Linked DNA regions of Rhinolophus ferrumequinum. The protein of the gene in region 1 interacts with the protein of each later gene in a biochemical or structural test. Links are inferred from orthologs where the notes say so. Each region holds a gene or a part of one and is shown in the gene's direction. Other genes may lie near its edges. The genes, in order: CHEK2, PPP2R5A, PPM1D and ATR.

Region 1 (7,541 bases):
CCTAGCTGACTGTACTGGAATGGACATCTGGCTATGAAGCTGGGCCAATCAAATTCCCTCTCTCAGAAATCTAGAGTTGGGTCTAGGGGACTCTAGTCAGATGGTGAGAGGCCTTGTTCTTATAAGGTAATAGACCATGGAGGAGTAAAGAGTCATCCAGTGGGAGAGGCCACTTTGGGGTACCATATACTAAAAAGGAAGCAGACAGAAGTGGTTTTAGAAAGGACAGGATGGAGTGACTGCCAGGGGCACTGAGTCCAGGACCAAAGTCTTGGCTCCAGACTGCTGTCTGGTTTCCAGGTTCTCTCCCAGAAAAGCTCTTGTCACACTGTCCTATAATCATTACAGGGACTTTCTCTTTGGATTCTGGGAGGTAGCCCTGTTTCCTTACAATCACCTCCCTTTATCTAGTCTAGCTCAAGTGGCTTTCTGCTTCCTGCAATCAAATGAATCCTAAGCCAAAGGGCCATTACTCTCTTAGTTAAGCGGTGGCCACCAGTCAGGAATGGAGAGAAAAGTTGTTCTTGCGGAAAAACAGCTGGAAATAGAAATAGTCTCTTCAACCTGAGAGCCAGGAGCAGTGGGGACAAGGATAAATATTCCATAGTTGTAATTTGGGCACAGTTCTGTCATGGCCTTCTCCTTCCGGGTTTTGCAGAAAAAGGGGTGTGCGGGCTTTGCCAAATGTTGACTGTGCAGCCTTGCCCTCAGGATCTACTGGTTGGCTTCAGCCCCCATCCCTCACCTTATCTTCTACTTGTTAAAGTGAAATGAAAGCACTTTCCCTCATATACTCCTTCACTGGCATGTCATTGTTTTTGGCACACAGGTTGTTTTTGCAGCAAGATTGTGAATTCTTGAAGACAAAAATGTAGACTCATCTATATTTAATACCTCCCCAGGTACCTATCATGAGTATATAATAGCTACTTGTTGAATGCATGGCTGTACCTCAGTGCTTACAATTTCTTTCCATATTTAAGAAAGTCAAGAAATGAAGAAAGTACCTTGTTCAAAAGCTCTGCTTACGCTGTCAGTCAATTCTTTCTGTTTAGCTGAAAGAGAAAACCATTATTGTAATTTTTCTATTTAAATTGACTCATGATATGAAGTCAGCACTTCTTGGTTTATGGCTACATTCCAGAGAGGTAGGGATGTTACAAGTCTCACCTCCAGATAAAATTGGTTTCGGTATAATCAAAAGGGGAAAAAAAAAACCTCCCTGAATCTTTATGAGGCGAATATATATTCTTTATATTTATTTTTCACTTAACGCTGGACATGCACTCTTAACAGCAATAAAATGCATTTGGTGGTATTTTATCTTTTACCTCTGACAATAGATTCAATCTCTTTCATGGCAGCTTCATTTTGAGCTTCTGCAAGTTTTTCATTAATATCCATTATTTCCATGAGAAATTCCCTGTCCATTTCACAATCTGTTCCTTGAGGAATCTCTACACCATGGAGCTTTAGCTATTTGGGCATAAAGTAGGGAAAATAAGTTTGCTTCAAGAGACTACGACCAGAGTCAATCCTACTCACCCTTCTGAACAGAATACCACTCATAGGGAAAACCTGAACTGTCCTAACAATGAAAGTGTCAGGGTAGGATGTTGGAACATCGGACTGAGAAATGAATGCTTCAACAGGATTCCTTTCTGCTACTTAGAACTGTGTGACCCATGGGGAGTCATTTCTCCACTTGAGAGCTTGAAGTAGATATTTGGGAAGATTCTATTAAATCCTAAAATTCTAAGGTGTTCACCTCACCCTCCAAAAAAAAAAAAAATGTCCAAAACTACTCTTTCCTAAAAGTCATCACCATCCAATCCTTGAATTTATCGAAAAATGGTTTTTAAAAAATGCAATTGGGCAAGTAACATTTACAGAGGATATTCAGAGAAAACTATACTCATGTAGCACCCCCTTTTTTTTTTTTTTAAGGAGGGCGCAGCTCAAAGTGGCCCATGTGGGGATCGAACCGGCAACCTTGGTGTTATCAGCATCACACTCTAACCAACTGAGCTAACCAACCACCCCCATCATGTAGTATCTTTGAGGCTAAATGTAGTTGGGTCCCTGGACTAGATCAGGTCTCAAGCACTCCTCTGCTGAATACAGGGCAGCAGCTGTACCATAGTGGACAGCAGGCAGTCATGCACAGAAGGGTTGGGAAATCACCTTACAAGGTATACTCCCCTGGTCAGGGGGGCCAGAAGGGTCTTATAGGCGTCATTCACCAGGGTTGAATGCTTCTCTGAGAAATCCTTTTCAATCTGTTAGTGGATATGGAGATAGTCTTATTACCATCCAAATCAGCCATCTGATATTCACAAGCTGTTTCATAAAATACTGATGGGCAGGCACTTAAGGAAGTGGCCAAAATAGAACCAGTGTGGGATAAGATTTATTTATTTTCAACTGATGGATTCTAATTTTGCAGGACAGGTCCAGGGCCTGCCTGGCTGGCGTCTGGTTGCCACAGGATAGAGCTGGCTATCCCTGATAATCACACAACCGCAAGACCACCGCCACCCACCCAGAATGCATATGTGTGTGGGTATGATTAGGGGTGGCCAATAGGCTACCTGAGACCTCTGGCTGAAGAAATCCGGGTGCACAAGACGCTGTAATTGCTGGTACCTATGCTGGAGCTTCACAGTGTCAACTCTGAAGGAACGGTTGCTGGAAGAAAATAGGGAGATAACATTCATGCATCAAGTATTTATAGATTTGTATACTATGGGTCTTGTTCCTGTTCCCATGGGGAAATATACAATAAACATGCAGACAGATAATTTCCAAAAATGGTAGGTGCTGTGAAGAAAAACGGAAAGGGGTCTGCGAGAGTGGTAAATGTGGTGGACAAAGAGATGGCATTTGAGCTGCAAGATGAATGATGATGAAGAGTAATCAAATGTCAGAGGAAATGTGCTAAGGTCCTGAGGTGGGAACGAGTTTCCCACCCTTGAGGAACTTAAAAGGGTAGTGTTACTGCAGCCCTTCGTAAGTGCACAGTGATTGGTGGGGTCAGATCTCAGAGTTAAGGGGAAGGGGGATTCCCAATCCCTCCCTATCTTTCCGAGGCCTGGGTTCCTTCATCTCCGCCTCCCACTTTATTTTAACCTAATCCCTTTTGCTTTCTATTCCCAGAGCCTGCCCCATTTTACAAGTTTAGCTCCGCCCAAACTTTACCACTTCCCCGAAGCTCCTCAACCTTGAGAGAAAAACAAGAAAAACACCTATTCCTCAGATCTTCTCCCTCCAATTCTCACTTTTCCCTTAGGCTCTGTCCACAGTATTAAGTTTTTCCATGCTTTTACTCCCTTATTTTGGATAACACGTCAGTACTCCTTTCTTAAAAGTCTCAACCCAACTTTTATGGTTCTGATCCTAACCCTCAAGTTTCCCTTCTCCAAGGGCCCTTCAAGGACCCTTCCTTCAGACCCCACCTCTCAACTTCGCCTTCTCTCAGGGCCCGCCCCTCAAGTTTCCCTCTACCTTAGTAGTCTCCGTCCCTCAATTTCCTCTAACTTCATTTCCCACCCCTCCAGTCCTCCCTCCACCCTGTCTCCATCCCTCAAAGCCGTTCCTTCAGGCCCGCCCCACAATTTCCTCTTTCTCAGGACCATCCTCCATTCTCCCAGGCCCGACACCCACCTAGACACTGGTCTCCAAGGCTCCGCCCACCTATCTAACTGGCCCCTCCTTCTGCTTCCCAAACCTGATCGGCCCTTCCCTCTCGCACCTCTATCCCTGACTTCTCTCTCGCTCCGGGGCGTTTCCCGAAGCCGTTTCCGTACCAGTCCATAAGGCTGAAGTGGTCCCGAGTGGAGTCAGGCGGCTGCAGCGCACGGCACTGCGGGCAGAAGAACCCGTCCCCACCAATGGGGCCCCTTGGGCCGCCGCAGTTCCAACACTGGGGGCAGTTGCTTCCCGCTAGTGACGCAGCATTACAGCTTATTGGTCTCCTTCCGAGGACCCCAGTCGGCCACAACCCCCACACCCGGAGCAACGCTCGGGTTCTCCCGCTCCACATTTGGCTCGCGGCCTAGTTTCGCCGCGGTCACCTGTAGGGGGATAAGGGGACAAATGGCCCACCAGACTAGTGTTGCTGATTGGCTGGAGGACTGAGGGGGCGGGATCACCCGAGGGAAACCTGGATTCTGAGTCCCGCTCTGAATTTTAAACTACAACTCCCATCAAGCAGTGAGGCTATCGTGGACGGCTACATCCGCTGCTCCTCATTGGTCCGGCAGAAGCGGAGGAATGTTTTGATTGGCTGAGGGTGGACTTTGTATCTGTTTAGCGCCAGTTCGCTAGTGGTGGTAGCTGTGAGTCTGTGGCTCCAGGTGGGCGCACGAGGTGAGTTATAGTGGGGATCTTCTGTCTGGTGTGTGGGAGTTCGAATCCCGCTCTCAGGGAATTAAGGCGAACTAAATCTCTCGAGCTTCCGCTTTGAGCTCTGTTTGAGCTTCGGCGGGGGTGGGGTGGGGTGAGAGGAATGCGTGGACGACTCTCTTCCTTCGTAGATGAACTTCCAGTTACTTCCTCACTTACAAGCTGTAACTGGCCCAGACATACAGGATAAGAAGGAACAAAGTTGTGCTCTTCAAAATGAGAGCAAAGTTGCTTTGTGAAGAGTTCTAGAAATGTCAGTAATTATTGCCATACTTTAGATTCAATCTTGAAAATAACGTATTGAGAACCCATTTTTAGCGGATAGGCACTGCAGGAATTGGAAATATACTTACTTGTGTAGGAGGATGCTATGCAAGTGTCCATAAGTAAGTGTGTGGAATGGGATGGCTAGGAGAGGGTAGGGGTACCAGTCCTCCTTGGGATTCGGTTTCTCTATTAGAAAATAAAAGATTGTGTTGCACTTGTAAGGTCTTTCCGGCTGTTGGATTCTTGGGGATTGGAATTCTGTTGTCCCAATTATCAAGGATAGTCGAGGAGGAGAGTTCATGTATCATCTCGTTTAATCGGAAAGATCTATCTACTTTATTCAGATAAGGTTTCAAGAGGTTGATTTACCTAAAGGTCATGCAAAGATTTTTTAGGCATCTGACTCCAGACCTATTTGCCTCTAACCACTCCACTGTACTTTCTCTACACTGAGGCCAGTGTGATCCCAGCCTGGTAGACCCTTATTTATCATAAGCGATGATAGTTACCTCTTGACACACTGTCTTTTGCCAGTTTTCAGGGCGGAGAAGTCTTGCTCAAAAAAAACTGCAGAAGGACACACTCAGCCTGGCTGAGGTAGTATTAGAGCTGCTGGAGTGGCAGACTCATCTCTGGCATCACCTTCCTGGGGTGCTTTAAGGAAAACTCATCAGGACCTTTGTATCTGGAAAGCTGTGTAAATGCAGTCAGTGTGAGTAATCCTTACTATGTTCTGTAGGAGTGGCCTGAGTGTGGGGATCGGGAGAGAATGTACCTTTAAAAAAAATCAGATTGGGGATTTAAAAGTTAGGGTTTGAAAGTTACTTCGACTTTACTGTGGGTTCTGTTATCAGAGTTTGACTGTCCATCAAGTTAATCCTAAAGCAAGGGTGGGAACCTCTGTTTTGGTGTCCTGTAGCTCAAAGAATGGTTTCTGTAAGATTCTGCAGGGCTGGGAGGCCTTTTCGGATGCTGAAAAGGTGAGTGGATAGTTACTTAGCATCACAAAGGTGGAGATAGAGTTGTTTAGAGCAGTCTTTGTCTTCTGCCTGCCTCCTTAAGTGGCCCAGCCCTTAGGTGTCAAGGAATCAATTTCCTGGAGCTAGTTTAGGGGAGGGGCATCAGTGACCTTTTTATGTAAATGTCCTCCCTGGAGTGGTGCGGCGAACAACAGTTTCCCTTTGCCCATCTTTTTCCCCAAGCCACTAGACCCTTCCCCTTTCTCTTTCCAAAACATATATTAAATTTAATGTTGATTGTATTAATGAATCCAGTCTAGGTTTCACTTCTGATATTTAAAAATCGGGGGAATGGGAGCGGCTGGTTGGCTCAGTTGGTTAGAGTGTGGTGCTCTTAACAAGGTCGCCGTTTGGATTCCCACATGGGTCAGTGAGCTGCGCCCTCCACAGTTAGATTGAAAACAACGACTTGACTTGGAGCTGATGGGTCCTGGTATAAAACACTGCTCCCCAGTCGTCCTTGATTAAAAAAACAAAAACAAAACAAAACAAAAGGGTGAATGTAAGCCATTACAAATCTCTTTCTTCTCCCTGAATCTCTTTCCTCTCCCTAACTCAGTTTATTGCTTTTCACTTATTTATAGCCTTTGAAGATTTTTTTCCCCCTGTGGTTTTTGACTGTCACACAAAAAACTGATCCAGTGAAAATAATCTGTTGAAACTCAGCCCAGAAGAACTATAGGTCTAGACTGTTAAAATTTTAAGTTTTGCAGAGCATGCTTGCCCTGGGTTTTTTTTTTTTTTATTATTGCCATCATAATATTCCCATCCTTCATTCTTGAACTTTAAGTCTTGTTTCTTGAAACTTATTGTTGGACATTTGTTTTTGAGGTCGCGATGTCTCGGGAGACGGATGAGGAGTGTCAGCAGTCCCACGGCAGTGCCGGCACGCAGTCTCCTGGCAGCAGTGCCTGCTCGCAGTCCCAAGGCGGCTTCTCGCAGTCCCATGACCTCTCCTCGCAATCCCATGACCTCTCCTCACCGACCCAAGGCTCCGGCTCACAGTCTCAGAACACGTCCAGCTCCTCCACCAGCACAGTACCCACGTCCAGCCAGTCCTCTCACTCCAGCTCGGGGACACTGAGCTCCTTAGACACGGTGTCCACTCAGGAACTGTATTCTATTCCTGAGGACCAGGAACCTGAGGAGCCCGTCCCTGCTCCTTGGGCTCGATTATGGGCCCTGCAGGATGGATTCTCCAATTTTGGTAAGAACCCTTTGTTACATTAATATGTGTGATATTAATATTGTGTTCAGAAAAGCAATTACAGACATTTGTTGCAGCAAAAAGCTCAAGACTGCCAGTGTGGGGCCTGTGCAAGTTGATCCAGGACTATGGGCACCTGTGCCAAGTCTTGAACTTGTGCCAGGACCTGTCGTCTTCCCTGCACTAAGACAGCTCCTCCCCACCTGATGCTGGCCTGATGTTGGGTGGAATGTTGAGACTATCCTATTTAACTTGCAAAATAATCCTATGAGAGAGCATTGTTATTTTTACCACCATTTTACAGAAGAGCAAACTGAGGCTTAGAGAGAAATTCATTGACTTGTCTACAATCTTACAGTCAGGAGTTGGGAGAGGCAGGATTTGAACCTATGACTTTCAGACTTTAAACTTGTGTTCTTGACCTGTCATTGTGAAAGTGAGTAGGACAAGAAAGGTAATGAAATTAGTTAGCAGCCAAAGGGGACTGGAACCCAAGGGAGGCTTGTTACTGTATGAAATGAGTGTGAGAGAATCTGGTAGAGAGATTCAAAATGCTTGAGTGGGAAGAAAATAAAGGTGACAGTGTGGTTGGGGGCGTGAGGGCAGGCTGAGGGTGCTGTAGTCAGAGATACGGGTTCAAGTCC
Region 2 (7,875 bases), on another chromosome or scaffold:
AAGGAATGAATAAGAAACATCAAGCACCATTAAATCTTGTGATAATCACATTTTCCTTCTAGGTGTCAGTACTTCATAGTTCCACATACACAAAATTTGTAAAGTGCTAAAGCAAATGGTATGGTCTTGACAGTACAATCTATTCAGTTTCATTTTGTGTGAATGCCTTTGTATAGAAATGATAAATAGAGTTTGAATCTCCACTAATTTTTGCAAGAGAAGAATAGAGGACCCCAGAGAGGCTAGAATACAAATAAATAAATAAATAGCTCCAGAACATGACAAGAGTTACCAGAATCAAGCTCCCAGGGGAATCGAAAGGAGTGTCACTTGAGAGACACTTTAAGAGAAGATCTCATTTGATCTCTTTCTGCCAGATGCTTTATATGAATGGCGCCTAGTACATAGTAGGAGTTAATTTATGGTGGTGATTGTATTTATATACACCCACAGACACACACATTTTTTAAAAAGCTATATTCTTTGGTATTGAAAGTAAAGGCTAGGATCTGAAAACATTGGAAATTTCCAGTTCAATAATTCCTGAAAGTCCTATAGTACCACTAATACTGCTTTTTCAAGCCATAGAGACCACACTGACACTGAAGATATAAGGTTGATTTATTGGATTCTCAAATTAATTATTTCTACAAGCTTGAGCTAAAATAGCAAGCCAATGAGAGAGAACACATTGAAATGTGGTGGACGATATGGACCAGCAACAAACTACCGACACCATAAAGAGCCCCTGGATCTCATCAGGCTCAGCTTGGATGAGCGAATTTATGTGAAAATGAGAAATGACAGAGAGCTTCCAGGTAGATTATATGCTTATGGTCAGCATTTAAATATGATACTGGGAGATGTGGAAGAAACTGTGACTACTATATAAATTGATGAAGAAACATATAAATCAACAAAACGGAATATTTCTATGCTCTTTGTCCAGGGAGATGATGTTGTACTAGTTGCCTCTCCATTGAGAGTTGGCTGAAACAAAGAATTTATCCTGTATGGAAAATAGGAGACTGATTGCCTCTTTAAATGTAGAAGATATTGAAAAAAACCTGCGTAAATTTTGATACTAAGAAATGACCAAGGATTCTTCCACTCCAAATGAGTTTGATTTGCAGATGACTTACAAATTCTTAAGCTAAATGGCATTTTAATTTTTCTCCAACCTTCAATAAATGTGATGAGAGAGGAGAGAGAGAGAGAGAGAGAGAGAGAGAGAGAGAGAGAGAGAGAGAGAGGACACATTGCTGTCATGCAGCAGCTTTGTATTAAGACAGGGACTGCCCTCAAACCTATTAGATGCTTCCTCCAGGAGGATGAAAGAGAAACACCACTTATAGATTTATATAAAATCTGCATATGAAAGGAACATTAAGAACCCATATGGTAGTTTTGCAATCACTGTTCCTCAGAATATACCAGAAGGGAGTCATATATTGAATTTAATGTCCATTTTTTATATTGTCCATCCACCTCCAGGTCAAATTCTGACACAAGGTATAGTGTAATATATTCTTCTATTGCAATGGGAAAAAACTTTTGGTAACATATCGTATAAAATAAATTCATTGCCAGAGATATGGAAATATTTTTCAGGGATGAAGAAATGTGGGTAAGCTAATTTCTTGAATGAGAAGTATTTTTTTTCTTCTGTTTTTATCCGTATGAAAACTTGTTTTGTTTCAAGACCTCACTTCAAGCATTACTTTTTCTGTTAAATTTTTCTGCCTCTTCATTCAAACCAAATTTGATCTTCTTTCCACTGTTGCACACACCATAAGGCACACTTATGATATAGTCTTTGATCCTTTGTTTATATTGTCCCTCTCACTAAATTTTAAGTCCATGCTTTATTTACCTTTTCATTCCTAGTGTCTGGCATATTGCCTGGCACAGAGAAGGCACTTGAAAAAAATGCTTGCAGGGTTGAATTAAGTGTGGAGAGTTTGCCAACATCAGGCTTTTTAGACCCACTCTGCAAGGACAAGAGGATTGGATATGCCAGGGGTTATCAGGCATTTATGATTACAACTCACTGAGATGGGGCAAAAGACCTCACAGCTAAGGAAAAGTGATTCAATGATAACCATAAAGTCCTAGTTTCCCATCCATTCCCTTTTAACCCATTTCACTCTTCCTTTAACCCCGTTTACCCTTTGGTATCCACCAATCTGTTGTCTGCCTCTGAGTTCGTCTTTTTATTTTTTGGTTTGTTTTGTTTTTATATTCCACATATGAGTGAAATCATCCATATTTGTCTTTTTCTGCCTGATGTGTTTTCACTTGGCATAATACCCTCAAGTTCTATCCGTGTTGTCACAAATGGCAGGATTTCACCTTTTATAGCTGAGTAGTGTCCCATTTGAGGGTGTAGGGGTGTGTGTGTGTGTGTGTGTGTGTGTGTGTGTGTGTGTGTGTGTATCTTCTGTATCTGTTCATCCCTCAATGGACATGGACATTTAGGTTGTCTCCGTAACTTGGCTATTGTAAAGCTGCAATGAATGTAGGTGTGCATGTATCTTTTCAAATTAGTGTTTTCATAATTCTTCAGATGAATAACCCGAAGTGGAATACCTGGATCATATGGTAGTTCCCTCTTAATTTTTGAGGAATAATATACTGTTTTCCACAGTGACTGTACTAATTTACATTCCCACCGCAGGGCACAAGGGTTCCCTTTTCTTTGGCATCCTCTCTAGCACTTGTTTCTTATCTTTTTGATGATAGCCATTCTAACCGGTATGAGGTGACATCTCATTGTGGGTTTTGATTTCCATTTTCCCTAATAATCAGTGATGTTGAACATCTTTTAATGTGCCTGTTGGCCATCTCTATGTCTTCTTTGGAAAGACGAAAAGTGGCACTTTTAAAAACTGAACTGGCCCTGAGGTTGCAAGCCCTGAAACAAACTATGTTTGGTGGTCGGTTGTGCAAATTATGAGGAAGCACTGGTCTGCACGTTTGTGAAGGTAATTCAACATGGTCTGGAACTTGACAGAATGAGAAAGAGAAGTGTCAAACATGCTGCTGAGGTTCCAAGCTCCTTGACTGGGAGGACGGTGTACAATTTCATCACTCAGTGAATCTGAGGAAGGAACTATTTTAAGGGACTAAGTTTGCTTCTAGATCTAGAATCCAACTTCCTACCCAAAGTTGGAATTTTCTGACATATGCATCAGGTAGTTTTGCTTAAATCCATGGGCAGCTATTTCAATGATGTCGAAAGGAAAAAGTTGGAGCTCTCCAGAGAGGAATGGAGATTTGGGTCTATCAGCGCAAAACTGCCAAGATAAAGGGAGACAAAACTGTTCAGCTCACTTATTTTATTTTTCTAGGCTTAAATTAAGCTTAAGAATTTTTTATACCCTACTCTCCAAGTATTTAACCATTTTTATGTAAATGACAAATCAATTTCTGAATTTTGTTTAGTACTTTCTGTACTTTGGACCTTATAATAGGATAGAGAGAATATTTGGTTCCCTTTTGTGTTACTTCTCATATAACGCATCAGCTCAAATATTTTTACTAAGCATCATTCTACGGAAAACACTGCACAAAAGACTGGATGACCAGTCTTTGTCTTTAATAAGTTTAAAATATAGACGGAATCTCCAAGAGATCCCAGTAAGAGTAAATGGCAACTCCCCAACCCCAAACCACTGATGAACAAATTTGTACTCGTTCTGTTGAAGTAGTTGAAGGCCTTTGGCTGAAGAAGGGATAAAAATTAATGGGACACTAAATTGAAATGAGAACCTCTTCTTGGAGGGTGCAGATTTGGAGAAATCTTTGAAGTAAATGTTAGAGTTGCCCAAACCTGGCGCGAGAACAGTTCTCGGGAATTGCGGTGCCTGAGCCACTCCAGAACTACCAATTTACTCTGCAACTACCAATTAGGATTAGGGGCAGCGAGACTCAAAGGCCTGCGCAGGAGTCCAGTACCTCGCTCCGCTTGAACGAACCACTTCCTCGCCTTCCCCGAGGCTCTTTCGTTCGTCAATCACATTGCTGACTGTTGGTTCCCCACCCTACATTTGCTCGCCCCTTTTCAGTGACGTAACACCTGGCGCTCTTTCCCGCCCCAGGCCGCAAGCTCTCCACCAGTCGCTTCAGTTCCTCATTGGCCAGCAGAGAGGAGAGGGAAGGGCATTCTAGTTTGCTTCCTAAACTAACCCCTCTAGTTTTCTGGTCTTCTCATAGGCTGTCATAAGAGCAATTATTGCCTGAAGCTGTCGCGCAGGCGTGACAAAGTGCTCACTGGTAAAGGGGCACTTCCCCTACCAAGAAAATTCATTGCGCTGTTGTGACGCAAGCGGCACCGGGCTCGCCATTTTCACTTACGATTGGCTGTGACCTAAGTCCGTCCATAACCACGCCCCATTCCTCTCTCTAACCTCCCAGTTTGAGACACCTTCCAGGAGGCCACGCCTCACCGCGTTCCCGCCGCTTAGCCCTGTGATTGGCTGAGAGAGCTGGGATGCCTGCCCACCCCCTACTCCCTCCCGAGCACCCTAGAGGCTGGCGGGACCCCGCGGAAGTTGTCAATCTCCTCCCACCCCACCCCCACTCAAGGCTCCTCCCCCGGGTCGCACGCCCCGGCGCGCGCGCACGCACACACACTCCCCCCACCCCTTGCGCGTCTCCACCACCTTCTCAAGTTGTAGCGGACGCTCGCTGGGGGTTCTCCGTGGGCGGCGGAAGGGCGCGTGGGGGAGGGGGCTAGGACGGCTCCGCGCTGCGAGGAGCGCGCGCGCGTATGTGTGTGTGTGTGTGCGTGCCCAGAGCCCGGGCGGCGGGTCACCGCCCTGGGAGATGAGGGGCTGGCGCTGACAGGGAAGAGCGGGCGCCGTGGCGGTGGCAGCGGCTCGGAGGGGACCCGCGATGGCAGCGCCTCTGGAGGAGGCTCCATGCAGGGCGGGCTGCGCTGGTAGCGGCCACTGAGGTGCTGGCCGGCCGGCTGGCTGGCAACCTGGGCTGAAGGAACGAGAGGCGCGCTCGACGTCCGCACCCCTGCGCCCTCGCCTCAGTTGTCTAAACTTCAGGCTCCCTTCCACCGCCCTTGGCGCCCGGAGTCAACAACTTCTTCACCCCCCTCCGCCCCCGCCCTTGCCTCCGGGAGCCCGCCGCGCAGCGGGGACCAGGAACCTCCGGTACTGAGATGCGACCGTGAGGCGTTGGCGGGCAGCGAGGAGAAGCTCGGCGGCGCCCGGGAGCAGAAGGGCGGTGTGGCCGGGGGGACGGGGCGGAGGGGCGCGAGCGCTCCGCGCCTCTCCCCCGCATCCTCCTTCTGCCGCCGCCCGTTCCGTGCAAGCAGCAGCCGGAGCTGCCAAGCGCCAGGGCTGCGGAGATGTCGTCGTCGTCGCCGCCGGCGGGGACTGCCAGCGCCGCCATCTCGGCCTCGGAGAAAGTGGACGGCTTCACCCGGAAATCGGTGCGCAAGGCGCAGAGGCAGAAGCGCTCCCAGGGCTCGTCGCAGTTCCGCAGCCAGGGCAGCCAGGCGGAGCTGCACCCCTTGCCCCAGCTCAAAGGTAACCTCCGAGGGCGCAGCCGGGGCAGGGAGCTCAGGGGCTCGCCCCGCGCCCGCAGAGCCGTTTCCTTGTGGGTTCCTTCTGCCCAGCTGGGGCTGGTAGTGCGAGTCGTGTTCCCCACGACGCCTTGGCGCCCCATCCCCCTTAGATTCCAACAGGTTTGAGGCTAAGAGTCTTGCTACTTTTCTTACTTCTCCCTGATTCCCTTAACTCTTCCCATCTGAGTGGAGGCCAACAACTCTCCCCACCTGCGCGCTCAGTCACCTGCCCTCGCGATTGGAACTCTCGTGCGTCCCGCGAGGTACAGTTCTTCCCTCTTCTCTCAGGCTTGTCTTTCCCATCTTGCTTTATTTAACAATCTGTGTTTCCTTCCGACCTTCACTATCCGGAGACGCACCTCCTCCTTCGGACACTCTTAACTAGTCCTTTACTTTTTCAATAGCGCCTGCACTCACCGTCTCAACTCCCTCCCATTGATTGTTTCAAAGAGTCACACAGACCAGGAATCCTAATGCAAACAACGTTTAGAGTTAGTTACCTGGCCTTTGGATTTCTTTATAAAGAAAAAAACGTAAAACCTGATCGGTGTAGTGTCTTATTAACTGGGTCGTTAGGTTTAAATGTTATCCTTTGGCCCGGAAGACTGGAAATACTTAAAATACTTTATTGTCCGAGAAGGTGTACACGGTAAATTTGGCGACGTATAAAGGAATAGATCGTGTTGGTTTGCAATGGAATGGGAACTTCGTTTGCCAAGCAGTGATTCCAGGGACTTTGTAGGTTTGTACAGTAATTCAAATGGGTATCCGTGCCTAATGCCTGGCAAGGAGAACTTGGCACTCCTTTTGGCTCACTCACTTTTCCCACTAAGTTTAGAGGATTTAAAAAAATTGTTTCCTGGTGGTCTAGTTTATTCTTTGTGAATTACTACTTTTAATTTTATTTCAATGTCTTCGTTTTTTGTGAGATTGAAATCATCATGGAACAAGATGATAATGCTCCTAGACATTTAAAACAATTTTTTTGATGAAAGAAATCTAATAGAAATTTAGATCATCTGTTTTGCAAGGCCAGGAAATGAAAGGTTTATACTAAAATAGATGAATGTTCAGCAGATTTTTCAATCCATTTCATCCTCTTCAAAACCAGTTTCATTCTGATTTGTCTTTGGGCCTATGAATTCAGCCTTAGTTTGGCTAGGAGTTTAAAGAACACCCAAGATCAAATCACAGTTGACCTACAATATCTCTGGAACCCCATTCAGACCCTGCATGGCCCTGCCTCTTGGGGGTGCTTCTAAATCAAGAACATCCCAGGCCAGAATCAAACTGGCTTTTTAAAGACGGTTTTAGTTAAGCTGTGTGTAGCCAGTGTTACTGCATTTATCATTTGCTTTTTAGCATACAAAAATTTTTAAAATTTACGTATTGTAGTCAATGGTAAACCACAATGGTAGGCATTGCCAAAATTTTAATTCTTGAGTGATGTCATAGCCATAAAAGAATATCATCTTACCTATTAGAACATTGACTTGCTATTCATGGATTTAACTTTTAATTACAACCACAGTTATTTTTATATTTTTTTTCATTAAATTGTTGAATTATTTTTAAAGTTTAAAGGTTTGGTGCTAGCGTTTCATATTTATTTAATTTGTTTTTTAGTGAGGTATTGTGATTCCTTAGTATTGTCATTAATATAATATTTACTTTTATTTAATACAAATAATTGAATATTAAACATGGTTGGTTCAAGCCAAGAGATGCAGCTTTAATACATTTGTTTTTAAAAGCCTGGCTAAAATACGCAGTGTCAGTAATCATCTAAGTTATATGATATATAGTGCAACAAGTTGAAGGTGCCATTGAATGTTTTATTTATATAACAGCATTTTGGTCACAGTATGTTTTATTTGTAGTATTTTTGTCGCTAGTAGAGGAAAACGTGGAAATTTAGATTATATATATATTTTGCATGAAAATATAATTTTCTTTATAAGGAAAGTTATATATTCAAGATAAATTTATGCAAACTTAATTGAGGGAAATGAGACCCTTACTTGGATTACCCACTAATAGGAAAAACTACTTTTACTTCAGATTCCAAAGTGCTTGAAAAGTGATTTTTTTCAAAAATTCAATTGCTTTGCTTGGTACTTTGGCAGTGTACTTGATACCACAGCGTTGTGTGCTTTTTCTGTCAGTAGTAGTTTTTTCCATTTGTGGCCTTAACAAAAAAGAGTAGATGTGTATGAAAGAGAATTTTTCTTCCTGCTCTGAAATACAATCCTACTGTGGAGTGATTCAGATTTCTGTGGGCATCCAAGATCTTT
Region 3 (7,882 bases), on another chromosome or scaffold:
AGCTATGAATAAGATAAGTTCCCTGTTCTCATGGAACCTATATTCTAATTGGGAGAGAGAGTCAACAGACAAATAAATAAAAAGGTCAGATAGGCAGAAGTCCTCTGCAGAATTAAAATAGTTGTGCGATAGATATTGGGTGGCTACTTTAGTCTGGATGGTTTGGATGGTTAGGAAGTAAATCCCTTAATATTTAAACTGAGATCTGAATAGCAAGAAGACTCCACCCTCGTAAAGCTGCTGGAGGTAGGGGGGAGCAGTCTAAGGAGAGGTTAATAGCTAAGGCAAAAAGCTTTAAACCTTCTAAGAGCTTGGCCTGTTCAAGGAACAGAAAGGCCCCTAGGCCTGGAGGGAGTGGGGAATGGGGAAACTGTTACGAAATGATGTTAGACAAACATTTAGGGACCAAACAGGTCTTGTAGGGCTTCATAAAGAGTTTGCATACTATTTTAAATGGGATGGGAACTCATACAGTGTATTGAGTAGGGGAATGACTTGATCTGATTTATGTTTTTTTTAAAACTAGTTTCAGGTATATAAAACAATGTAGTCATTAGACATTTATATACCTCACAAAGTAATAACCCCAATAAATCTATTAGCCATCTGAAACTGTACATAGTTAGAATATTATTGACTATATTCGCTATGTTGTATTATATATCCCTGTGACTTTTAAAAAAATTATAGTTGACATTCAATATTATATTAGTTTCAGGTGTACAGTGTAGTGGTTAGATATTTATGAAATTTATATATTTATATTTATATAATTTATATTTATATAATATTTATATAAATATTTATAAATATATATAAATATATATATATATTTATTTATATATATATTTATATATATGTAAATATATATAAATATATATATATTTATTTATATATATATTTATATATATTTATAAAATATTTATATAATTTACGAAATGATCTCCCCGATAAGTCTAATACCCATCTGACACTATACATAGTTTTTACAATATTATTGACTATATTTCCCATACTGTACTGTACATCCCCATGACGCTTTTGTAACTACCAATTTGTACTTCTTAATTCTTTCACCTTTCTTACTGAGCCCCTTGATTTATTGATTTGAAAGAGCGTGATAGTAGTTAGTAGAAAAGGATTGCAGAGGGTCAAATGTGAAAGAAAGATTTATGAGGAGACTATGGTAGTGGTTCACATGAGAGGTAATAGTGGCTTGGACTGGGATGGTAGTGGCGGAGGTAGTGAGAAGTGGTGGGTGCAGTATTGATTTTGAAGAGTTAGTTAAAAGGATTTGCTGATGAATCAGAAGGATTGGAAATAGGAAGGAGAGTGGAGGAAAGAGGAATAAAAAAAACTTTTATGTTTTGTGGCTTGAACAAAAATGGTGATGCTTACTGATACGGGTAAGACTGAGGGAGAAGGCGATATGGAGAAGAAATTTAGAGTTTGTTTTGGCCATGTTAAGATGAAATGCCCATTAGACATTTATGTGGAACTGTCAAGCGTGCAGTTGCATATAGAGTCTGGGATTCAGGGTAAAGTTTAAGACTGGAGATATAAATTTGGGAGCCATCCCCAGACAGTTTTTAGAGCTATGGTCCTGAATGGTGTTACCTAGAGAGAGAGTGTAGGTAAAGGAAAGAGCCCATAACAAAGCCCTGCGTACTCCGAACAATCTAAAGTCTAGCAGGGGAGAAATCAGCAAAGGAAAATGAGAAGAGGTGGTCAGTCAACGAGGTAGGAATAAAACCATTATAGTGTGGCCTCTTATAAACCAAGAGAAGCGTTTCAATAGGGAAACAATAGTTCCACTTTCTGCTTCAGTTGGGACGAAAGTTATTAAGAACAGAGAAATCATCATTCGCTTTGGAAATAGAGAGGTCTGGTTATGTCATAAAAACAGTTTTAGTGGAGGGTCGCTCTATTGCAGGGGTGTCCAAACTTTTTTCAACGTTTTTTACCAAGGGCCAATACACAAACAGCTGGGCCACTCACTTGAGGTGAAGTACATATTGCTTCACCTGGTTTATTTAAGTAAACTAAATATATTTTTGGAATTTGCTGCGGGCCAACAAAAAATGGATTGTGGGCCGCAGTTGGCCCGCAGGCCGCAGTTTGGACACCCCTGCTCTATTGGTTGAGTTAAGGAGAAATTATGAGTTAGGAATTGGAAGTAGAATCTAGATAGATACAACTCTTTCCAAAGTTTTTCCTGTGAAGGAAGGGCAGAGAAGTAGGGCAGTATATGGGGGGTTAAGGTAGGTTTTTATTGTTGTTAAAATAGACACCATAATATGTCCGTCCGTACACAGATGGAAATGACCCAGTAGGAAAGGAGAAATTGGTGAGATAGGAACAAGAAAAGATAACTGGTGGAGCAAATCTTCTGAGAAGGAGAGAGGTGAAAGGATCTAGAACAGAAATGGAGGGAGTGCCTTGAATAGTGCAGGGCCACTTCACCATGAAGAGGAGGATGAAAACCGGAGAAGTCAGGGTCTTGGTTGGAAAATGTGGATAACATTTTAAAAAATAAAGTGGCTAAGAACCATAATGATTTCACTGATATGTGGTATGTAAAACTGAAAACAACAAAGGAACAAGACAAACAATGAATAAAAACTCATAGACACAGACAATAGTTTAGTGGTTACCAGAGGTTGGGGGGCAGGGGAGTGGTAGATATATGGTGATGGAAGGAGAACTGACTCTGGGTGGTGAACACACAATATGATATATAGATGATGTATTGCAGAACTGCGCACCTGAAACCTATGTAACTTTACTAACAATTGTCACCCCAATAAACATTGCTGAAAAGTGACAAGAATAGTGGAAGAAATGAAGATGGTGAAACATGAACAAATGAAGGGGGCATTAAGTTACCAGGGATCATCAGTAGGTGACAACCTCTTGCTGTAGTAGCAGTTGGCATTAATTTTAAAAGAGCTTGGGTTTTTGAAGGAGGAAGAGAAATGATTTGGAGGAAACATGAGGAGCAGGTTGGAGGATAAGACTACCTGTGAGAGGAAAAATGATCTCTTGTACTTGAAAAGTTGCAAGGGAGGTAGTTTTGCTAGTTGATAAGCCAGTTTTAGTTGGAACAGGAAGTTGATGGGAACATTGAAGAGGTGAAGAATAAAGGAAATGGCTGATAACAGATGTTGAAATCTAAAGTGCAGGATGAAGTGGTTGGATGGTTGGGATAATGAATCAGATTAATAGAATTTGAGGGTGGCATGGAGATGCTAATCAGGGTAATGACAGATGACCTGGAGGCTGCTGGTTGTGATTAAGGATTATAATGATGGAATTACAACCTCTAGAGGAGGAGGAAAGGTGGGTAAATTGTTTAAGAATAATATAGAGCTACACAAACTGTTCTTTTTTGCAGGCCTTGTGGTATGGAGGTTACTGGATTAAAATTGCTAATATTTCATTTAGTGTTTTTGCATTTGTAGTTATAAAACATGATCTATAGATTTCCTTCTAGTGTTATAATTGTTAGGTTTTGATAATAGGGTTATGAACATGTTTCAAAATGAGCTGGGATTTTTTTCCCCCCAAGTATTTTTACACTCTGGAAACATCTGGTCTAGTGGGGATATATTTGACTACGTTTTTTAATTAATCAATCTATTCAGATTTTCCACATTTTGAGCTGATTTTGCTTATGTTTTTATTAGTATAAGGATTTTTTTTGTTTGTATTATGTCAATTGTTTGTATGAACATTTTCCCCGTTCCCATTTCTGTATTAGTATCAGTCCATTGGAAAATCCTGAAGTCTGTGCATTAAAGGGCACATAGGTGAGTTGATGGTGAAGTGGTCAAAATCTGAAAAAGTGAACTTTAAATTGATTAACTACAGGAACGTTTGCTGCTGAGAACATACTAACCTGCCCACTCTGAGGCTTATTTTAATTCCGTGGAAATCCGTGCATAGTTTTTAGCTTATATTGTAACCTACTGGGCGCAAAGTGGGAGACTATAACCAAACTGTTAGACACTGGAGCGCTTGGCAGTTTTTGTTATTTTCAAGTGGTAACTTGAAGTGATACTACCAAAGATATAAAAAAAAATAAGTCCTGTACGCAGGGCTTACTGGAAAAAGTACTACGTTTAACAAAAGCTGAAAAGATATGTTAACAATTAGTTAAAATATAACCTTTTAAATCTCCGACATACCTAGTCATGTGAAACGAAACTGTATACCTGATGGTAGCAATTTCCCAAGTTTTCTTAACCACACAAATTGGATTGTCTCCCTTCTCAACTCCCAGTGGGATGCATCTAACCCAAACCCAGTTCTAGAGTGCGGCCCTTTTTCCAGCCTGTTCACAAACGACCTTCCGAAGTAACGTTTCCCGCCATTTCGCTCCAAGGAATGGAAGGTCTTTCCCCCTCGATTCGTGGAGGCCCGAACCTACACGGCTTTCCCCGAAAGACGAGCAGGAACGCCAAGGCCAGTAAGCAGCATCACGGTCCTCGGGACTGAGTAAAAAGGTGACAGACCAAGTTGCCCGATAAGTGCTCAGTACCCGCCGATAACCCGGAGGGCGGAAACACCCACCGCAAAAGGGAAGCGACCCGCGGAGTGCGCGCGCCGGGTGCCCGCGCTGGGCCGAGGGAACACTGGCAGTTGCTGGGAGGAGCGAGGGCTGGGGGCGGAGGGCGGGTTCTCCCCAACTCGACTCCAGATTGGCCAGGCCCAGAGAACAGAGTGACGACAGCTGGGGAGAACGTCTGATTTGTGTGATGGGCGCGGGCAGGCGGGGGAAGAGCATTGCGCAGGCGCATCTGCTCGGCTTCTCTTGCCCTAGCGCTCTGGCCCAGCTCTCGCGGACAAGTCCCGACAACGCGCGCACGCCAACCTCCGGGACCGCCCCCTCCCCCTTCTCGGCGTCGTCGAAGATAAACAATAGTTGGCCAGCGAGGGTCGGGTGTCTCTCCCGCCGCTGGATTCGGCGGGCTGCGTGGGACCGGCGGGATCCCGGCCAGCCGGCTATGGCGGGGCTGTACTCGCTGGGAGTGAGCGTCTTCTCCGACCAGGGCGGGAGGAAGTACATGGAGGACGTTACTCAAATCGTGGTGGAACCGGAGCCGACGGCTGAAGAAAAGCCCTCGCCGCGGCGGTCTCTCTCTCAGCGGTCGCCTCTGCAGCGGTCACCGCCGGCTCTTCCTGCTTGCGAAGTCTCGGGGAAAGGCCCAGCGGTGGCAGCCCGAGAAGCTCGCGACCCTCCCGCGGACGCCGGGGCCTCGCCGGCTCCCGGCTGCTGCTGCCGCCGCCGTTCCTCTGTGGCATTTTTCGCTGTGTGCGATGGGCACGGCGGGCGGGAGGCGGCACAGTTTGCCCGGGAGCACTTGTGGGGTTTCATCAAGAAGCAGAAGGGATTCACCTCATCCGAGCCGGCGAAGGTTTGCGCTGCCATTCGCAAGGGCTTCCTCGCCTGTCACCTCGCCATGTGGAAGAAACTGGGTAAGTTCCCTGGCTTGGTTGGCTCCCGCGTCTTTTTCAGGCAGTTGAGGGCTTTTATAGTACCAGCACCGCGTGGGCCGCGGCACCGAGAAGCTCTATCAAAGTGGACGTTGATAGAAATGAAGACTCCTCTCGGTCTAATAGCACTTTCCAGGGTGGAGGTCCGGGCAAAGAAAGTGGTCTTGGGAAAGGTAGGATTGCTGTCTCTCTACAACCCATCCTTGCTTTATTTCCACCCTTCAAGGATCAATGGGAAGCCGTCCTCTCCGCTGTTTCAGTTTGGTGGCAGTTGGGGGAAAAAATGTTTGAAACCTGGCGCCAGATTTTGGCCAAAGGTGAATTGAAAACACGTTGCTACCAGGGCCACGCGAAGGAAGCGAGAGATGGCAAATATTAGAGTGTTCCCTTAGAATCTGTCATAATTTTGCTCTTGAAAGACTTGTCCCTGTCGGTTGCCTCCTACCAGTGGTGTCAGTTCTCCAAATTGATCCCAGATGGCTGGTAGTTGGAGTAAACTGTAGGCTAATTTAGGAAGGCTAAAATGTAATCATCAGCGACTTAAAAAGCCTTGGAAGGAATTCGGTTGTGGTGATCATAAAATGTTTTTAGGGTCTTTATGTTTGTGCTGATTATGAAAAAAAGCGCGGAATGCGTTACTTCTTAAACTGGCCCCACGTTAGGACTGTGTGTTACATTCTGCCAGGGCTTTTTAAAAGTACAGTACACGTTTTTGGAGGTAGTTGGCTTTAGTTATTTGCTGTCAGATAGTTCTCAACAGTTCCTAGTTAAAAGTACCTGTAAGTTGTAACTCCCTGTCAAAGTAGCCAGAGGTAAGGGGGAGTTACTGACATGCTAAAAGGAAATAGAGAGCTTAATGTCTAAAAATTCGGTGTCGTTGTAGTTTCACCTAAACTTTAAATGTTTTCTAAAGCAATGTTTCTGTACCCAACACATGTTACCATACAGAGTTATAGTTGCTTATCCATTGCTGTGAATGAATGGCATAAATCTTTTTTAGAGAAAAGATTAAATTCTGTCATTAAAGAAATCTTGTTTACGATAGCATAATGTTGCTTTATTTTCAGCAGAAGGACAGAGACATAGAGAAGAGTGTAAATATTGGTCAAATACAGAACATTTTTTAAAAGGTATTGTCATAGAATTGTAGACTAGCTTCTTTCAAAGTCTGTTTTCTATTTGCCTGGCTTTCTGCCAAGAATTACTTGATTGACTCATAGAGTAACCAGTACGCCTTTTGGAGGCGTATTCCATCCAATCCCAGAGGCCCCTATTATGGATTTGTTTTGTTTTTGTGTAGGCAGAGCAGAGCTGAAAGCACTGCAGTATATTCCAGAAATATGTCATTTCATTGCCTGCAGTGCAACTAGGAATGGACAGCAAGACAAGATAGAGGAAGATTAGACACAAAGAACTCTTTAGTCCCATTTATTTTGCAGTGCACTTGGAGCAACATGACTCTGCCATATGTTTGAAAAAGAACAAAGTCTGAGCCCTGTTTCTTGAGCATTTTTTCGTAAAGCAGGGACCATACTGTTAAATGTGAATGTGTATATTTTTTGATGTACACATACTTTTTCAATCAAGTTTTCACTCCTGTGAGGTATGGTTTAGAGCCTTATATACCAGACAAATATTAAAGTTTGCTGTGTTCCGCAGCTAAACCTTGTATCCCATCCTCAAAACTTGAATTAAAAAAGAGTATGCTGAGTGTATGGAAGTCTGGACACAGGAGATGCAAGTTTTTAAAAAAATTGTACTTCAGTTCTAAATTTATGGATGGTTCCTCATTTTCTGTAGAATAAACTATAGTTTATAATCTAGAGGCCAGTCCCTTCCCAGTCCACCTTCTGACTCCCTGTTCAATTTTGTTATCCACATTTCAGTCACATTAATTTACTCATCTTTTTCCTAGGGCACATTGAAATAGTCCATATTCTTAAATTCCCTCCCCCACACACAAAAAAACAAAACTGAAAAATATACTCCTCAGTCTCTAAGTCTATGTTTTCTTCTGTGAAGAGTTCTTTCTTTTGGAATTAAACATCCTTTGTTTCTACTTTTGAAGTACTCATTGGGTTACAGCAGTAGTTCTCAAAGTTTTTGTTCACTGAACCCTTTGTACTCTTAAATGATTGAGGACTCCAAAGAGCTTTTATGTGGGCTACATCTATCACATTTACTACTAATATATGAGAAATTAAAACAAATTAAAAAATATTTATTAATCTATCAAAAATAAACATGTTAACATTTTTAAATGTAAAACCACTTTTTCCCCAAAATAAATATTGAAATAAGTATTCTTATATCTGCTTCTGCATTGAGTCTGTTGAGCTGTCTTGTCTTGAAGTATATGAAGCAAAGGAGGCCTCACACACGTATG
Region 4 (8,076 bases), on another chromosome or scaffold:
CAGTTTGTTTACACAGGATCATTGATTCTGCTTTAAGTTTCAGAATGTTGCCCTGTGGTTGTATTTGTCTCTTATGAGTCTTTATCCAATTGAAACGAACAAAAGATGTGTGCTTTTTTTTACCCATTAATCTGTCTGACAATATTCAATACATAGTCAAGTTACTAAGGCAGGGGAATGGCATAATAATCATATTTGGGTTTTGAAAAGGTCCTGTCTGCTGTATAGAACAATTCCAAAGAACATCAGCATTGCCTAGGAGCAAACTTTTTAAAATTATTAAAAATGCAAAAAAAATAAGTAATAATACTTTTAAAAATTGTTAAAATTATTAAAAATTATTTAAAATGCAAATCATTGAGTGTACCAACGAGGTGTATATTGAAGTCCATTCAAGTCTGGAAATGAACTTGTATGTAATATTGTATTTTTTATCTCATTTTTTAAAGCTATTTTAGTGTATACTTTATGATATTAATTATATAGTAAACTTTTGAAAGAATACCACAAATGGAGTAAGAAAAATCCAGTGCATTATGAAGGAAATTACACAATTAGGCAGCCAAGAGTTTGGGCATCTGAGAACCAGGTGATCTCATTTGAGTTGTAGTGCCACCTCGTGGTCATTCCAACCCTAGTTTAATTAACAGTGGGGACAATTCTATATACAGGCTATATGAAACTTCCAGGAGGACATAGGTTTATGCCCATTTGTCGATTTGATATGGGACACCTCAGTCTCTCTGCTTCCTGCCTCACTCTCCCCCCACACTTCAATCCCTTCCCCCCAAAAGATGAAACGGGGAGGTGAGAGGAAAACAGGAACAAATCAACAGTTGTGTTATGTCCAAATTTACATTATCATGACTTTTATGTTATTAGAATATAGTACTAAATATATGTGGTTAATAAATAAATATGCACATATTAGGGTACATATTTTTAAGATTTCAATATTGTTGAACAATCAAAAAAGTTAGGGGGCTGCCAGATAGCTCAGTTGGTCAGAGCATGAGCTCTGACCAACAGGGTTGCTGGTTCTAGTCCCACATGGGCCAGTGAGCTGCTCCCTCCACAACTAGATTGAAGACAATGAGCTGCCGCTGAGCTTCCGGAGGGGCGGCCGCATGGCTCAGTTGGTTAGAGCGCGAGCTCTCAACGACAGGGTTGCTTGTTCAATTCCAGCATGGGGTGGTGGGCTGCACCCCCTGCAACTAAAGATTGAAAACAGTGACTGGGCTTGGAGCTGAGCTGCACCGTCCGCAACTAGATTGAAGGACAACGACTTGGAGCTGATGGGACCTGGAGAAACACACTGTTCCCCAATAAAAGTTAAAAAAAAAAAAAAGTTGTGAGACTCCCAGTGTAGAGAATGGATTGGAGGGAAAACAAGCCTAAAGGAAGAAAGGCAAGCTAAAACACTACTGAAGTAATTTAGGCAAGAGACAGTGATGGTCTGAAACCAGAAAGATAGTAATGAGATTTGGAGGGAAGTGGATCGGTTTGATATTTAGAAGATAGAATTGAGTCCTTATCTTTAAGAGATACAAACTGAAATAAGTACAGATAAATTGATATGATGTCTGGGATTTTCTTTAAAACAATCCAATTAGGGAGAGGGGAAATGGGGGGGGTTATAGATGAAACAAACACTGGCCATGTGCTGATAACTGCTGAAGTTGGGTGATGGGCATAAGGGGATTCTTTATTCTATTTTCTCTTACTTTTGTGTATATTTGAAACTTTTCATAATAAAAAGTTAAACAAAATTAAAGTGCCTGGGAATAATTCAAGGGCAAAAATTCAATATGAAGGTAGACGTATGAAATATAAAGCTCAGAGAGAAATCTCAGCAAAGAATTTGGGAGTGGTCAGCAGGCAGAAAGTTAACTGAAGCCTTAAGAGTGAACGTGGTCACCTAGGAATAAAAAGAGAAAGGAAGCTAAGTTAGAACCCTGAGGAATACCAACAGTGAATGGGATGGCAAAGGAAGTGTTGCTAATAAGAGAGTAAGTCATGGAGGCCAAAAGAAGAAAGTGTTACAAGAAGCAGGCATTAGTCTATGTTGTCAAATGCTGCTGGGAGGTCAGGAAAAGAAGAGCTGATCAACAGTTTTTTTGGATTCAGCCATATGAAAACCATTGGTGCAACTGGTGAAATTGGTGAGAGGCATTTAAGAGGGCGCGGGCAGGACAAAGAGCATTGTATGTAGGATTGAGACTGAGTGGGAGATGAGGAAATAGAATCAGCTGTATGAAAAACTCAAAAAGTTTGGTGGAGTTGAGAAATATATAGGTACCTGGAGAAAGGATGTCTGCCTGGAATGACATCAACTGCTCCTTTATTGATATATTGCTAACAAGTTTTATTTCTTTAAATGACCTACTACCCCCCTTTTATTCTGTCCTGTACCCTCCTGCTAGATTTGAGTGTAGCTTTGACTGGGTCACTCTTTATATAAGATCTCCCAGTGCCTCTCCATCGCTTACTGAGGTCTTTATCAGTGTCTCAGGCTACTTTTCCTTGACATCAGCCAAAATGAATCACTCATCTCTCCTTCAGTATGCGTTTTGTTCAGATATTTGCCTCTAGCTAGAATATATGCCTCTTCTCCAATCTTTGTCTCTTAAAATCTTGCTCATCTTTCACATCTGGTCTAGCATATGGTGCCACATTCTCCTTGAGCCCTTTCCTGATATACCTCTTCTCCACTGGAGTAGATACGGTCTCTCCCTCCTCTATTTTTCCAATGCATGCTATTTATATCTCCTTATGGCATCCATCGGATTTTGCTTTGCATTTATTTTTCTGGGTTATTACATCGTTTTTACATCCACAGATTGTACATACTTGAAACTGACTTTATTTTCCTCATCTTTATGTCGCAGAAGTACCTAACACAGTATCTTGCACAAAATAACTTTTTGAATTAAATTGGATTCCCAAAGCTCTACTGTTTCTAATGCTTGGGGGTTTACACTGCCTTTTAGAATTACAATGCTATTCAGCTACTGCCTTCCATGTAACGTTGTAATTTTTATAATCTTTCTTCATATGATCCAAAAATAATACCCAACATTTGTTACTTGTTAGTTATAAACTGTTTTTCATATGGGTTATCTCATTTAATCTTTAAAAAGTATATGTATTTCTTTATACATTTTGAGATACAAATAGTTATATAACCTCCATCTAAATATAACAAATGTTTAATTTGTCATGATTAATCAGAACCTATTAAAAGAAAACCCTCAGAGATATGCTGAAGCCTTGTAATTTCATTTCCTTTTTACATTCTCCAGAGGTACAACTCTCCTGGAGTTGATGTATATCCCTCCCAACCATGTTTTTAATCTTTCATCATCTATGTATTTATACTTAACTCACACAAAGTGTTATTTTGTGGTTTAAAAATGGTATGTAAGTGATATAATATTATTATGTATTCCTTTGCGATTGCTTTTATCTCTTGACATCATTTTCGGGATTTATCTTTGTTAGCATGTGTTGCACACTTCATTTTGACTAAGAAATGGTATTCCAGTGAATGACTCTACCACCCCTTACTTAATCTTTACCTTAGTTTTGTGAGGTAGCTATTATTAATCTCATTTTATAGATGAAAAACTGAAGTACAGACAGGTTAAGTAACTTTAGGTAACACAGGTTCTAAAAGATGTAATGAGAACTTGTGCACAGCCTCTTAACTCCTGACACCATCTTCTTTCCACTTTATCATTCAACTATTTAACAAATATTCACAGAATACCAAGTATGTGCCAGGCCCTGTGTTAGGTCCTGGGCATCTAAGCAGTGAATAAAACAGACAGGATTCTGGTCTCAAGGAGCCCACGTTCTAATTGGAGGAGATAGTCAATAAAATAGTATGTAATGTATCGTTTGGTTTTAAGCGTTCTGAAGAAAACTAAAACAGGATGGAGGGGGAAAGAGTGTGAGTTTAAGTGTGTAGTCTATATGATGCTCTCTGGTGACGGTTCAGCAAATACTTGAGGGGTGATGAGAGAAGTGTGGTCCAGGTCAAGGCTAAGGGTACAGCAAATGCAAAATCCCTGAAGCAGGAACATATACGGCTGTCATTCCATCACTTTGATTTTTTAAAAAATACTGTATCAACCATTATCCTTAAGTGCTCAACAACAAATGAAAGCACACTGCATGGCTTTGCCTGATTAAACACCTAATTTTGACATGTTAAGTCTCTTATGATGGCCACCTTTCGAATAAACAAATTAGGTCGAGCCAGAAAATGTCTACAACCAGAATCCACTGATTTAAACATTAAGTCATATGTAGTAGATGCCCATAACAGTGACACACACAGTACTGCTGCTGCTTTGATGAGACACATATAAATACAATTCAGCCCCCTTTTTAAATACGAAAGGTTTAAAGGAAACCTAAGAAGACTTGAAGTTTAAAAAACCTGCTGAAACAGAAAGGAGAGAGAGAAGCCCACCTCTTGCACCGTATTTCTCAGAAAGGATGTCAAGAGTGGTAGGAAAAAGAGGACCTGAGGTCGTTACGCCGTGGGGAGACTTGGGGAGAGCTAGCCTTTACTCGCTGAAGTGCCTCAGTTTTCACATCTGCGATACGAGGCAGTCTGGCCTGGTGCCCTTCAGGCCCCTCTGCTCCTTAGATCCGGCGGTTTTACTTTGCTGAGCCTCCCAGGATAGGAGTAAGAACATGGCCGCTAAGCCCCGAAACTCTCCGCGAGTCTCGCACGGGGCCTTCCGGGCTCAGCGAGAACCCGCCGGGGGCGACTGGGCAGGCGCGGGCCCCGCCTTTTTGTCCCGCCCATTTTGGGCCTCCGGACCTCCCCCAGCCACTGCGCAGAACAGGAAGAAGGCCTAGCGCGCGGGGCAACCGCGGCTTCCGGGAGGAGTTTTGGGCGCCGTGAGGACCCGTCGGGCGCCGCGCGTTTCCAAAACTGTGGAGACGCCGGGAGCCCGCCTCTGCGGCGCCGACGAGCGCAGCGCATTCTCAGCATGGGTGAACATGGTTTGGAGCTGGCGTCTATGATTCCCGCCCTGCGAGAGCTGGGCAGGTAGGGCCAGGCCCGGCCGTCGTGGGCCCCGCGGCCTCCTCCGCTGAGTCCGGCTGGCGTCTCACGTGCTCTCCCCGACCGCACGCGCCCCGGCTTGGATCCCCTGAATCCCGGCCGCGGCTCTTTTGTGGTGGGCTCCGGGCCTGACCAGCGCTTCTCCCTCAGAGGGGCGGTTAGGGCGTCGCTGCAGACCTGAGGGAACAGTCCGAGAGGGAAACGTCTGCCGGCTCCGCTTTACCTCAGCGGTGCCCGGGAGCTCGTCCCCACTGGGTGTTCTCTGCAGCTGGAGGGAAGGGCCACTTCTCGTCACTTTCTTGCACTTATTTGCTTCTCGAAAACCTCTTGCCGTACATGGGAGACTTGACCCATGGACTTTCCCCCCTTTCAATTTATGATCGGTCGTGGACGAATTGGGTTTTTAGCTCCACGTTTTGATCCAGAACAGCTCATGGCAGAAAAATCACTAGTTCTGGTTTTGTGCAAGGAAGGCCAGTTATTAGAAAAGGCAGTTTCTATCTTCGAAGTGAAACCGTAGGCCACTCTGAAGATAGGACCTCTTGCAATCTTCAATCCGTTATTTAGTCAGAAATCCCAGGGATAGGCCACAACGTTCACAAAATATAAATATGCACAGAATGTTGCCAAAACATGAAGATAATATTGTTTTATTTGCAAAAGCTTGTTTTCTGAAAACTCGGGAGTAAAATCATGTAAACCAGTATCCTACCTATGAGAAGGGACAGATGTTGATGGGTGCCTCCTCCCTTCAACACATACGCAACCTTCCCACAACCAGGTCTAAAGACTAGAAGGCAGTGTTTATGTGTGTTTCCTTTTTTAAAAATTGTAACCCACTGCAGACAAGAAGTAAGTGGGCTTGTATACCACTACTGCAGTTGAACTGTCAGAATAATTACCTCCCAATTTCTTAAACTGTTTGACAATTTAGCACACAAAGTCAAAACTAACATTAAGCCCACCAGATATTTAATTTCCTTTTCTTTTTTGCTGTGCAATTGTGTTCATCTCCACTTGTTGGCCATACAAGGATGTTAGTCTTCCTTCATTACATAAATAAGAGGATAAATGAAGGGACCATATTTGTCTTAATCCTATTTTTGTGTGTGTTAATTGTTTTCACTTTGCATTAGGTGCAAACATTTTGTATTAATATTTTGTAAAGTAACATCTACTTTTCTAAAAAGCTGAATACAGGTGCTCATTTCAGGAAGTTGATGTACAGATTTCATCTTTCAGGCTCAGTATGCTTCCCCTATCTTGCTTTAATGGAGAATTAGCTTATTAATACTTTTCTTCCCTCTTTGCTCTTCCTCTATGAGACTTGTTAATAAAAATAGTATCTTAGATTTATTTATAGTCTCTTACATCAACAGAGCTTACTCCTATGTTATCTTTCATTTCATTCATTTGTAATTCTGAGAATGAGTTGAAAAACTGACCCACACAGAATTGTATAATGATAGTTTTTAATTGTCATGACTTTTTCATTGCACTTGCTTCATTCAAGCTTATTCAGTCTTACAGTATCTCTATGATATAGAACATGACAAATATCACTATTAAGAAACTGAGTCACAGAGGTTGAAGAAGCAAAGGCAAAGAGACAGCAGTTATCAGAGCTGTGTTTCAGATGAAGACATCAAGGCATTTTCTCCCATATTTGTTTTTCTTTAATTGTGGCAATTAGATTTGTGAGAAAAAAATGAGATGTCACAGTTCTAATGTGTGGGCTCCCGCTACCTCTATCTCTCAGGGATAAATTTTGTTCCACTTTTTTTTGTCGTTAGCATTCTTTACTTAGCATAGTCTTTCTGGGTGATCTCATTTACTCTCCTGCCTTCAGTTACTGTCTGCTATTTGATGACTCCAGATGTGTTTCACCAAATCGTATTTGTCTCCAATAGAAGTATATGTACTGGATAACAGCAGTTTTACCTGCGTTTCCCATATGCAGTTAAGACTTAACATATCCAATGCAAATTCTCTGCATATTCCAACCTGCTCAAGATTTTTTTTTTAAATTCCTCTCATTCACTGAGGTAGGGATATTTCAGTAAATGATGCCACGTTCACTCATTTTTCCAAACCAGAAATCTGGGAATCATTCCTGGCTCCCTGTGTTTTTGGCTATGTCCTTGGTTCTCTTTTCATCTTCACTCTCTTCCTAAGTTGCTTTATCTAGTCCCATGACTTTACATATTATCTATATGCTGATAACTCCCAAACTTTCTCTAGCGCAGAGATATAAATTAGGTTGCTTACTCAACATCTACACCCAGAAATGAAAATTAACATATCCAAAGCAGACCTTATAATTTACTGTCCTTTAACCTGTTCCTTTTCCAGGTTATTATAAATGTACCAACCAAAAGCCAGGGAGTTTTCCTTGATTTTTTTCCCCTTATCCCTTAATAATCCACCAGCAAGTCCTGTCACGACTGCCTTTGAAATACACTTCTCACCATCTCCACAGCTACCATCACAATTTCTTATCTAGACTATTACAGTAACCTCTCAGTTTATCTCCATTTCCGTTTTTACTCATTTACAATGGATTTCCCACTCAGCACTCAAAGTGACTTTTATAACTACAAATCATACTGTAGATTATATAGCATTACTTCCCTGCTTAAAATCTTCCTTTGGCTTTCTAGCACACTTAGAATAAAATCCAAACTCCTTACCAAGGCCTCTAAATTCCTGCATAATCTGCTCACTGTAGTCCAATAATATTGGTCTATTTTTCGTATACACCAAGGTCCTTCCTGCCTTCAGTCCTTTGCGCTCTTCTCTCTGAACACTGGTTGGTTCCATTAAGATGTCATTTCAGAGGAGCCTTTTCTGACCTTCCTTTTTAGAATTACTTTGTAATCACAAGATATTTTCAGATAGTGACAGTTGTTATTAAAATATTAAACGGGGAGGAAGATAAAGGGTCTGTGGAGCAGCAATAGTCGCCACTAGAGGAGATTTGGATGGTAAGAAGAAGC

What was found.
Region 2: the proteins of CHEK2 (region 1) and PPP2R5A form a complex in vitro, tested with the Homo sapiens proteins (2 studies listed by BioGRID and IntAct, with this or other methods). The link is inferred for Rhinolophus ferrumequinum from reciprocal best matches to the Homo sapiens genes CHEK2 and PPP2R5A.
Region 3: of the proteins of CHEK2 (region 1) and PPM1D, one has a biochemical effect on the other in vitro, tested with the Homo sapiens proteins (2 studies listed by BioGRID, with this or other methods). The link is inferred for Rhinolophus ferrumequinum from reciprocal best matches to the Homo sapiens genes CHEK2 and PPM1D.
Region 4: of the proteins of CHEK2 (region 1) and ATR, one has a biochemical effect on the other in vitro, tested with the Homo sapiens proteins (2 studies listed by BioGRID). The link is inferred for Rhinolophus ferrumequinum from reciprocal best matches to the Homo sapiens genes CHEK2 and ATR.

Annotation. Positions count from the first base shown.
Region 1 is NC_046308.1:18,318,545-18,326,085, reverse strand, and holds the start of CHEK2 (serine/threonine-protein kinase Chk2), read left to right. Parts: upstream 1-4,258; 5' UTR 4,259-4,368; intron 4,369-5,205; exon of another isoform or gene 5,206-5,383; intron 5,384-6,521; 5' UTR 6,522-6,527; coding exon 6,528-6,897; intron 6,898-7,541. Other genes in the region: iron-sulfur cluster co-chaperone protein HscB, read right to left, coding at 1,008-1,055, 1,332-1,476, 2,190-2,279, 2,592-2,688, 3,807-4,042. UniProt on the Homo sapiens protein: Serine/threonine-protein kinase which is required for checkpoint-mediated cell cycle arrest, activation of DNA repair and apoptosis in response to the presence of DNA double-strand breaks.
Region 2 is NC_046305.1:19,976,813-19,984,687, reverse strand, and holds the start of PPP2R5A (serine/threonine-protein phosphatase 2A 56 kDa regulatory subunit alpha isoform), read left to right. Parts: upstream 1-4,626; 5' UTR 4,627-5,362; coding exon 5,363-5,543; intron 5,544-7,875. UniProt on the Homo sapiens protein: The B regulatory subunit might modulate substrate selectivity and catalytic activity, and might also direct the localization of the catalytic enzyme to a particular subcellular compartment.
Region 3 is NC_046304.1:24,997,706-25,005,587, forward strand, and holds the start of PPM1D (protein phosphatase 1D), read left to right. Parts: upstream 1-4,780; 5' UTR 4,781-5,006; coding exon 5,007-5,478; intron 5,479-7,882. UniProt on the Homo sapiens protein: Involved in the negative regulation of p53 expression. Required for the relief of p53-dependent checkpoint mediated cell cycle arrest.
Region 4 is NC_046285.1:1,898,526-1,906,601, reverse strand, and holds the start of ATR (serine/threonine-protein kinase ATR), read left to right. Parts: upstream 1-4,891; 5' UTR 4,892-5,006; coding exon 5,007-5,065; intron 5,066-8,076. UniProt on the Homo sapiens protein: Serine/threonine protein kinase which activates checkpoint signaling upon genotoxic stresses such as ionizing radiation (IR), ultraviolet light (UV), or DNA replication stalling, thereby acting as a DNA damage sensor.